Linked DNA regions of Tribolium castaneum. The protein of the gene in region 2 purifies or fractionates together with the protein of the main gene of each other region. This does not show direct contact. Links are inferred from orthologs where the notes say so. Each region holds a gene or a part of one and is shown on either strand. Other genes may lie near its edges.

Region 1 (2,851 bases), on a different chromosome or scaffold from region 2:
TGACGTCATTTCTGGGCGCGGCTTTGCTCGTCTACTCCCTTAACTACGCCTTCAAGTGTTACAAACAAATCCGCCAGAAGCAGCACGAAGAAGAAATATCAATTGTCGAAAGTATTATAGACATCCTTCAAACAAACGCTACGGAAAACGGCGACAATTGCATGATAATCAACCACGTCCGCGACATGATCCTCCCAATCAACGAGCGTAAAAGTGAGACTCCGCCCAAACCCCGCCCCCTCTCACTAATCAATTTTCCAGATAAGCAGAAGTTGTGGATGCGCGCCGTGCGCTACATCCACGAGAACGAATCGCGCATCAGAACCGAGGAGAAGGTGGTGCAAGGGGAGGTGGAGCAGGTGTGGCGATGGCTAGGCGGGGCTAATAATTTAAACACTTCCAAAAACAAAAGTTGGCAAGGCCAAGCGTTCGAAACGCAAGTTGGCTCTGTAAACAGTCTGCCATACTCGCCGACGCCATGTTTGAAAATACGAGGGATGGTCGAAGATGGCGATAGGAACACCCACGTGATCAAGAAAGCAGTTTTGAGTAAATGTGCACAACAGTGTCGGATTTTGCACTGCGTTGTTGACACGAATTCGAATTGTGTCTACTTGAAGTGTGCGGAGCCGAGTGACGCTGCGGTGGCGTACAGGAATCTGCACGGGTGGTGGTAAGCTGGACTAAACCAGTTTGAGCCCGGCTCTGATTGGCTGTTGCAGGTACGCGGGAAATTTAGTCACTGTTAAATATGTGCGGCTGGAGAGGTATATGCAGAGGTTTCCCGATTCGCCGGTCAGTGGGCCCCCGTTTTTACAATAATTTGGTTGTTTTTTCCATTATTTATTAACAAAACGAACGTTTTTACTTTTACGACTGATAGCGTGTTACTTGTTTCGTTGAAAAATAGGTTAAGCATTAACAAATTCTAGGAATAATGTTGATTTTAAGACAATTTAAGTTCATTCAGCTAGGAAATTTATAACTGTATTTTTCAATACGTATTAATAAATTGTATTTGTATACGACTTGTTTGACGCACCCCGTATAGCAAGTAGGCCTAATGTACTGGCAAATATTTGACTTTGATTATGTTGTAACCCGAAATGATGCAAAATAGTGACGTGGAAACGAAAGAAATCGTTCAAGAGTTTGGTTTCAAGTACAAAGTCGGATGTTACAGGGACAAAAAACCCGAAGGTAATTAAATAATTAAATCAATAACCTTGAATTTTGAGCCTAAACTGGGCTTGGAATGTGCCCTGTGTCACAATCAGGTCCCCCGCCTGTCGCAATTTACCTCAAACACTCTGTATATTATTTTATCAATAAATAAATGAGTAGTTTACAAAACGTGACAGAATAGTTCAAACGCGCGCATAGTAGTTTAAACGTCACTCTCATTTCACCAAAATTAATCGTCATTTTCCGAACAATGGCTTACAATTTCCAGTCGGAAAGTGAGGTGAAGGAGTTCATCAAAAATTTAGGCATAGAATACCGCTTCGGTTGTTACAGCGAGAAAAAGGCCGAAGGTAAAAACTGCCATAACCCCACTTTTCCGTTTCGTAACAATTCACGTAATGATTGGTTCCAGTGTGCCATTTACTGGCCGATTATCTGGAATCGATCGACAAAAACTACGAAAAGGCCGGGATTGTGTACAAGACGACGTGCGATGACTATAAATATGCGAAAAGTTGCTCCAAATACGCCACTTATGCCTTGCTTGGAAAAGGGGCGAAAAAGTCCGATTTTAAAGCCGCTTACGGTTATTTCGATAAAGGGTGCGAACTAGGCGACCCCACGTCGTGCTTCCATCAAGGCTTGCTCCTAATCACGCGAAACGAGGAGCAGGGGATTGCCCAAAACCCCATCAAAGTAATTATTTTTCCCCCCAAAAAAAAAAATAACTTAATTTAATTTCAAGGGGATGGCACTACTGGAAAAGTCCTGTAACGCGGAACACAGCAACGCGTGCTATTATTTATCGGGGATGTACATTGCCGGGGTCCGTAAATCCCCCAAAGACACTTCCAGTGATAAAATTGAATACGCCGTCGCCAAAGACATGAAACAAGCATTTAAGTTCGCGTTGAAAGGCTGCGAGTTGGGGAATATGTACAGTTGCGCCAACCTCAGCCAGATGTATGCCAAAGGAGACGGTTGGTAGTCTAGTACGTGGTAAAAATCCCTAAGTTTTGGTTACAGGAGTCGAGAAAAATCCCGAACTGGCGGCGAAATATCGCAAAATCGCGACGGACATGCAGGAGGATATTCAAGGGGGCAAGACTTTGTCGTTTCAGGAGGGGCTCACGTGAAATAATAGCGAAATAAATTTTTGTTAGTTATTTGGTGTTTTCATTTACCTCAAGTTGGCGCTAGTACCGCGGACCAGTTCAATATTGTTTATTCTTTATGTAATTACATCAATAAAGGAAATAAACGCCAAACAGTCCCGAAATGTTAAAAAAAATAATCGACTGATTTTTTTATGCAATTGTCGAAATAACATTCAAAACTCTAGATATGAAAAAAAATCGGAAAAAATTTAGTCCTGGGAAAGTTGAATTTTGAATGATTTTCAAAGGTTTTTAATTTTTTTCTATGTGATATCAACAATGTGACACTTTTCTGTTAGTGTAGGTGAAAAGGTCGTAAGACTCTACACTATAAAGAAGTTTGAAAAAAATCTAGCCCTGAGAAGGGGTTAGAAAATTGTTTTTTTTATGATTTTTTAAAAGGTTTTTTCATTTTTTTCTATATTTTTCAACAATGTGCAGGTCAAAAGAGCAATTAAGACTCTATTTACAATAGGAAAATATTTAAAAAAAATCTAGCCCTGGGAAGG
Region 2 (3,594 bases):
TGCAGTTCATAAACGAAGTATTTTATCCAAAAGCGAACTAAATTAGTAAAATTAACTAAGCTTTCTTTACCTCTTCAATGCATTAATTGCTACATGATTAGTACAAATATAGTTAAAAAAATGCACATTCTATGCTAGAATCACTTGTACAGCTTGAGTGATTGAAAGCAACTACTTTTTTTTATTCGTGCTAATTTTAATATTTTTAAGACATTAAAGTAGATCTGATCTCTACCTTTTATTTATTTTTAATTATTTTAGTTTTATTCAACGCATACTTATTAGTTCCACACCACTTGGTATCAAGTAGAAAAAAATCTAATGATTACGTAGATATAACAGTTATAACAACATAATATTTATTCATTATGTTTTTTGCTTTTCCAATGCTATTTTTAAATTAACTTAATTCCCTGAAATTTTTATGTTATTCTGTATTTTTAATGACAGAAACAATCAAGTCTAATAACCAATGGTTTATTTACCATTTTATATCAACCAAGTAATATTTTCTGTACTTAATTTACACTGTGGCTTTAAAGTATCAAATTCAAACGCTACGGTGAGGGTTGCCAACTTAATTTCACTGACCAGAGCTTAAATTGCAGTTCATGGTATTCGCAAAACAAAACAAATGCAAAACAAATTTATTAAAAAAAAACTTTCAAACGTTACAATTGTGTAGTAACATTCATGTAACAATTAGAAAAAACTAGACAAATTAGGAAAGATTGTCTTCTTAAACTATAACAAAAACTAGATTAGCCTTTAAGTTCTTATGATTTTTTGTCCGACTTTGGAGCGCCTTCAGAACTAGGCGCTGCGCTTTTGTCGCCTGAATCCATCGAGCTAAAGTCATCATCGTCGGCTAAGTCTTTGTTGTACAAAGTTGGATATTTTTGCATACAATTTTGCATGGTCTTAAATAATTCATAGCAATCGCTACCTAAAAAATAATTAAATTCAGCCGACTTGCAAACTTTTTTCCGACTAATCCACCTTTAGGTTCCGCCTCGGAATAGTGAAAACAACTAAATGCGTTCCTAAACTCCACCCCACAGGGCCCCGTTGCCATGCCCCCTAGACAGGGGCAGTTCCAGTTGATGTCCCCGTTTGGGAGGATCAGCCCTGGCTGGGGGTCAGGCTCTGGCAGAGTCACAGTGCTTGGGACCTTGTGGTCCTCTGGGGTGGCAAAAATCACTATATCCTTGCCCTGGGGCCCTAATCTTTGGCAGAAAGACATTTCAGTGCTCGTATTCTCGACTGTCACCCTGGAGATTCAGCAAAATGGGGCTGGTCTTATGAATCTTGTAGGAACAACTGATGTTGTTGTAGCTACCACACAGGGTTAGACTACTGCGGATTTTCACGTAGTATTCGGAGGGTACTCTTAAAATACCGCGTTTGATCGCTAGATTGTATCTTAGGACGTCTATGTCTACACAAGCTGCAGATTCTCCAAATAACGCAGACACTGCATCAACGATGTGTTTTTTAAAGTACGCGTCTGTTATTACCTCATAGGCGGTATTATCGTGCAATCTCCTGGAACAAGACAATTATTAGTGCGATAAATGGGACAAACGTGGTTGAAAGTGAACTAAATTAAATATACTAACAAGGAAACGTCTAAATAATAGTATTTGCTCATTCTAATTTACATAACTACTTGCCATTGAGGAAAATTACTGTTTTAAACCGGGAAATAATTTTCCAGCGAATTTAACCTACAAAAAGCTAGAATCAGCAGGAAGGCCACCCGTGGAAACGTAAAGAGACTAGCTAATTTGGTGAACAATACATAAAAATTATGGGATACAGTAAAATGCCTCAATGGTTACAACTGTTGATCAATTAGTGCAAAATAACTTACAATTTATTTCGCAAATAAATAAGAAAATGTTTTTCGATGTTATCTAAAGGTTGGGGACATTGGATTCGGATCACTTGACTGGCTTGACAGATTTCTTTATCCCACTTGTTTTACTAGCTATAGGTTTGCCTCCAAACTGTAGTCAATATGTGCATCCGCTGGTTCATAGATGGCAGGACGTATTTCAATTCTCTATTTTTTACAAGCATTCAAAAACTAATAAATTATACTTATAATTTGATAAAGTAATTAGTATTTTAAAAAGCAAAAATATTGTTTATTAGCTATGCAGCTAATTCTGCATAAAAATTAAAATTTTCTTCCAGGAAACTTATGGAAAACTTAAGAATTCTCCTCAGTTGATCTGAGTCGTTTTTTAACAGAGTTGTGAAAACTAACACAAAATTATCGTTTTTAAGAAAAATAAAGCAACCTAAACCATGTCCAGTTTTGTTTTTGGTTGTAGTACTAACAGATATTTATTATACAAAACGATAAAAAGATTGTTAAATAAATTAAAAAAAAATATCTACCCTTGTGGATACTGTGATATTTTATCTTTCTACTGATGTTCTTAATACAAGTTTTCTTTGGTAATTTTCTTAAGTACTAAAGCGTAAATTTTAATAAAAATTAAAACTATTTACAAATTGACAGAAATAACATTGTTTGAAAGAAAAAAAAGTAGAAATTTGTTGGTCAGTGATTCATAGTTTATAAATAGAAAAATAAATTGTTTTGTGACATTATGTTTCATTAGATGCTAATTCTGTTTGATAACAACAAAATTAGAAGCTAATTTCAGTCCATTTACGTATTTAAAGTCTGGAGAATCATTAATTTATTTTAATTACACAGGTACTCAGTAATAACAATATAATGTAATTTCAAATCATTCGTAAACTTTAAAGACCTCTCCTTGACCACCCACAGTGCAGTTTCGTTTCGACGAAAAACTTTCTGATAGTATTTCCAACTAGTGTATCTAATTCTCTAATTGTAAAAGGATCTGCAGACGTCCTTCGTAATAACTTTCCAAACTGGAACTTTTATAACCATTAGCGTTCCTTACAGTTACAGCAAAACATTGTCTGAAATAATGGATTTTTTACGACTCAAATATAATAACTTCGGCATTTATTGTACTATTGATTAATACTGAGACGAATATCTGACACAATAACTACACGTTTAAAACGGTTGGGCAAATTAAAAGTTTGATTTTGCAACACGAGCTCAAAATAATTCGGTGTGTCTTTCAGATAATAACAGCTTTCGACATTTGTGTCGCTCATGCGTGAATTAGTGCAGTTTCACACAAAAGTACGTTTGTAAACGCATTTGGGTTTATTACGTTGCCCATTTTTAAATCTTGGAACAATAAGCATTATTTATATTTTCAAGTGTCCCACTAAAAACAAATGATTACAAAAACATACATTATTGTTCATTGTGTGACGGCTTAGAGCACTTAAAATATGATGAATCTTTATACCCAAATGAATTTAATTGTTGATGGTGAAAACTCATTAATTACGGCAGAGGCTTTAACAAAGGCCAGATCTACTTTGGAAGTCTTTGTTATCTACCTAGCCATTGTCTTCGTTTATTGCAGGCATCAGGTAAATTGCGTCTAGTTTATATTTTAAGAACCCTCGGTATTATTCAGCGAAATAACCCAATTATAACAAATATAAATTACGGGCGCCGACGACAAAGAT
Region 3 (2,224 bases), on a different chromosome or scaffold from region 2:
CTCGGAAACTGTAAGACTTAGAGCAACGAACAAAAAACCATCTGATAGCGCTTAATTTTATCTATTTTTTCGACCAAACCCGGAGCCGCTCCGGGCAACGGTTCCGGCTACAGAGGCGATCAAAGTTTTTCACTAAAAAAATTCATAAAAAAAAAACTAAAAGTCGTAGAGAATTCCGGTTTGTTCCACTGAATTCTACGGCTCATTTTACATATTATATCGATTTTTCACAAGAATTAAAAATTTAAAATTTTTTGCCTAAATTTAGGGTAGCCATTTGTCATACTGAAAAATTTTATTCATTAAAAAAATTCATAACTCAAAAACTAAAAGTCGTAGAGCAATGCGGTTTGTTCCATTGAATTCAGCGGTTTATTTTCTGTATTATACCAACTTTTCACGAGATTTAAAATTTTAATTTTTTTGCCCAAATTTCCTGAGTAAAATACAGTACCTTCAAAAAGTTGAAAAAAAAAATTTTTTTAAACTAACTTCAGCAAATTTTTATGGACTTCTACATGTCTTAACAACCCACTAAAGTTGTTAAAAGTCCACAAAAAGTCCAAATGTTCGATTTTTTGATGTTTGATTTTTTCAATTTTCGTCGCAGTTTTTGTCGATTTTGGGTACCCGGAACATTTGTCGAGCAATAGCTCCGGAACTATTAGAGATAACCCCATGATGTGTATTATTGTTGGAAAGCTCTTTAAATTATCTATTTTTTTCAAAAAATATTATTGTTCTCCGACTAATAGTTTTCGAGCAAATTGCTGCTAAATGCAAAAATCAAATTTCAACTGACCAAGGGTTAGGGCAAACTAAAATAGATCTCTACTGTGATTTCTATTAGATTTGTTGTAAACCATCCCTTAAATAAATGGAAATCACGTGTAAACTAGACTTTTTGTGCTTCCATAACGCAACGAACGTACACGCAACGTAACCGCAAAAGTCCATGTGAGCATAACCACAATTTTAAAAATTCACGATTTTTGATATTTTTAACAACTCCTAGTTTGTTAAATAATGAGTTAAGGCATTGGTGGAAGTATGCGCTTAGGGACACATGCAAAAATAGGAATTGGATGGTAAGTTCCAAAAGTAGGCAACGACTGACCATAACCTCACTTTCGCACCGAAAAATCGTTTTATTGCAATAATTTGTCGGTTCGCAGGACCATATGTACAACGTTTGGTATTTACTTGTTCTACTTGTCCAAATCCAGTGTTGAGAAAAGGCGTTATGATAATATGAAAATAAGGGAACGCATGCGACTCTCGAACGTTGGTGATTACGAATTGGGTCCTCGTCACACTCCTCGAACTTAATTATCGTTAATAACGCGTCACATTTGCACGGAATTGAAATGGCAGAGAGTGACGCTCAAAAGTTGCAGTTGATGCAAGAATTGGAAATCGAAATGATGGCAGACATGTACAACCGTCTAACTACAGCATGCCACAAAAAGTGCATTCCTCCCGTTTACAACGACGCGGAAATTGCCAAAGGCGAAGCCGTTTGCATTGATAGATGTGTGGCCAAATTTCTAGACATCCATGAACGCATTGGCAAGAAACTTGGCCAACTTTCAATGCAAGACGAGCAACTTCTTAAGAAATAATTGGAGCGCCCCGTAGTTGGACTTAGTTATGTTTTGTTTTTGTTTGTAATTTAATTTTGTAATGTTGGTTTATTCTAGAGGTAATAAACTTGACTAGACAAAGTGTAGTTTTTATTTTTAATTAATCAATGCTTAAAACACTTTTCTTCGACTTGACTGCTTCAGTGGTTTGGAAGTGAGCCGCTGTTCGCTTCCTGATATCGTCCACACTGTCCTCACTTGAGGCCCACTCGAGAACTAGTCTCCGACCGTACAAGTGGGTACTTTGACACAAAGCCTCAAATGCATTCTAAAAAAATAATTATGCTAACAAGTTACAATTAATAATTAATTCACCTTGGCATCAGAGGCTGCCACAAAATCGACAAACGCAAAACCTCGATGTGAGCCCCCATCCAAGGCCATTTTCTTTGGGAGCCTTAACGCTTTAATTTCGCCAAAAACACTAAAACAATTAATTAAGTCATGTTAGTAGTACAATTAAATTTTAATAAAATGCCTAAAAAGTTCCCTAATTTCCTTCTGGTTAGCCTGGAATGGGATATTTCGAACCAAAATCTTGGTTCCTGTTTGTTTCGTTGCTTTGGTGCTTTTTTTAACAA

What was found. Proteins that work in one complex are often made in the same cells at the same time.
Region 1: the proteins of mitochondrial intermembrane space import and assembly protein 40 (region 2) and cytochrome c oxidase assembly factor 7 homolog purify together in Homo sapiens (co-immunoprecipitation; 3 studies listed by BioGRID and IntAct, with this or other methods). This does not show direct contact. The link is inferred for Tribolium castaneum from reciprocal best matches to the Homo sapiens genes CHCHD4 and COA7.
Region 3: the proteins of mitochondrial intermembrane space import and assembly protein 40 (region 2) and Tim10 purify together in Homo sapiens (co-immunoprecipitation; 4 studies listed by BioGRID and IntAct, with this or other methods). This does not show direct contact. The link is inferred for Tribolium castaneum from reciprocal best matches to the Homo sapiens genes CHCHD4 and TIMM10.

The regions. Positions count from the first base shown.
Region 1 is NC_087401.1:15,101,548-15,104,398, forward strand, and holds cytochrome c oxidase assembly factor 7 homolog, read left to right. Parts: upstream 1-1,344; 5' UTR 1,345-1,435; coding exon 1,436-1,535; intron 1,536-1,597; coding exon 1,598-1,881; intron 1,882-1,930; coding exon 1,931-2,165; intron 2,166-2,211; coding exon 2,212-2,321; 3' UTR 2,322-2,351; downstream 2,352-2,851. Other genes in the region: inner nuclear membrane protein Man1, read left to right, coding at 1-213, 262-673, 723-822. UniProt on the Homo sapiens protein: Required for assembly of mitochondrial respiratory chain complex I and complex IV.
Region 2 is NC_087396.1:19,228,555-19,232,148, forward strand, and holds mitochondrial intermembrane space import and assembly protein 40, read right to left. Parts: upstream 1,974-3,594; 5' UTR 1,874-1,973; intron 1,806-1,873; exon of another isoform or gene 1,674-1,805; intron 1,546-1,673; 5' UTR 1,244-1,545; coding exon 1,000-1,243; intron 947-999; coding exon 777-946; 3' UTR 634-776; downstream 1-633.
Region 3 is NC_087394.1:33,997,219-33,999,442, reverse strand, and holds Tim10 (mitochondrial import inner membrane translocase subunit Tim10), read left to right. Parts: upstream 1-1,227; 5' UTR 1,228-1,367; coding exon 1,368-1,622; 3' UTR 1,623-1,724; downstream 1,725-2,224. Other genes in the region: probable RNA-binding protein 19, read right to left, coding at 1,744-1,911, 1,959-2,067, 2,122-2,224.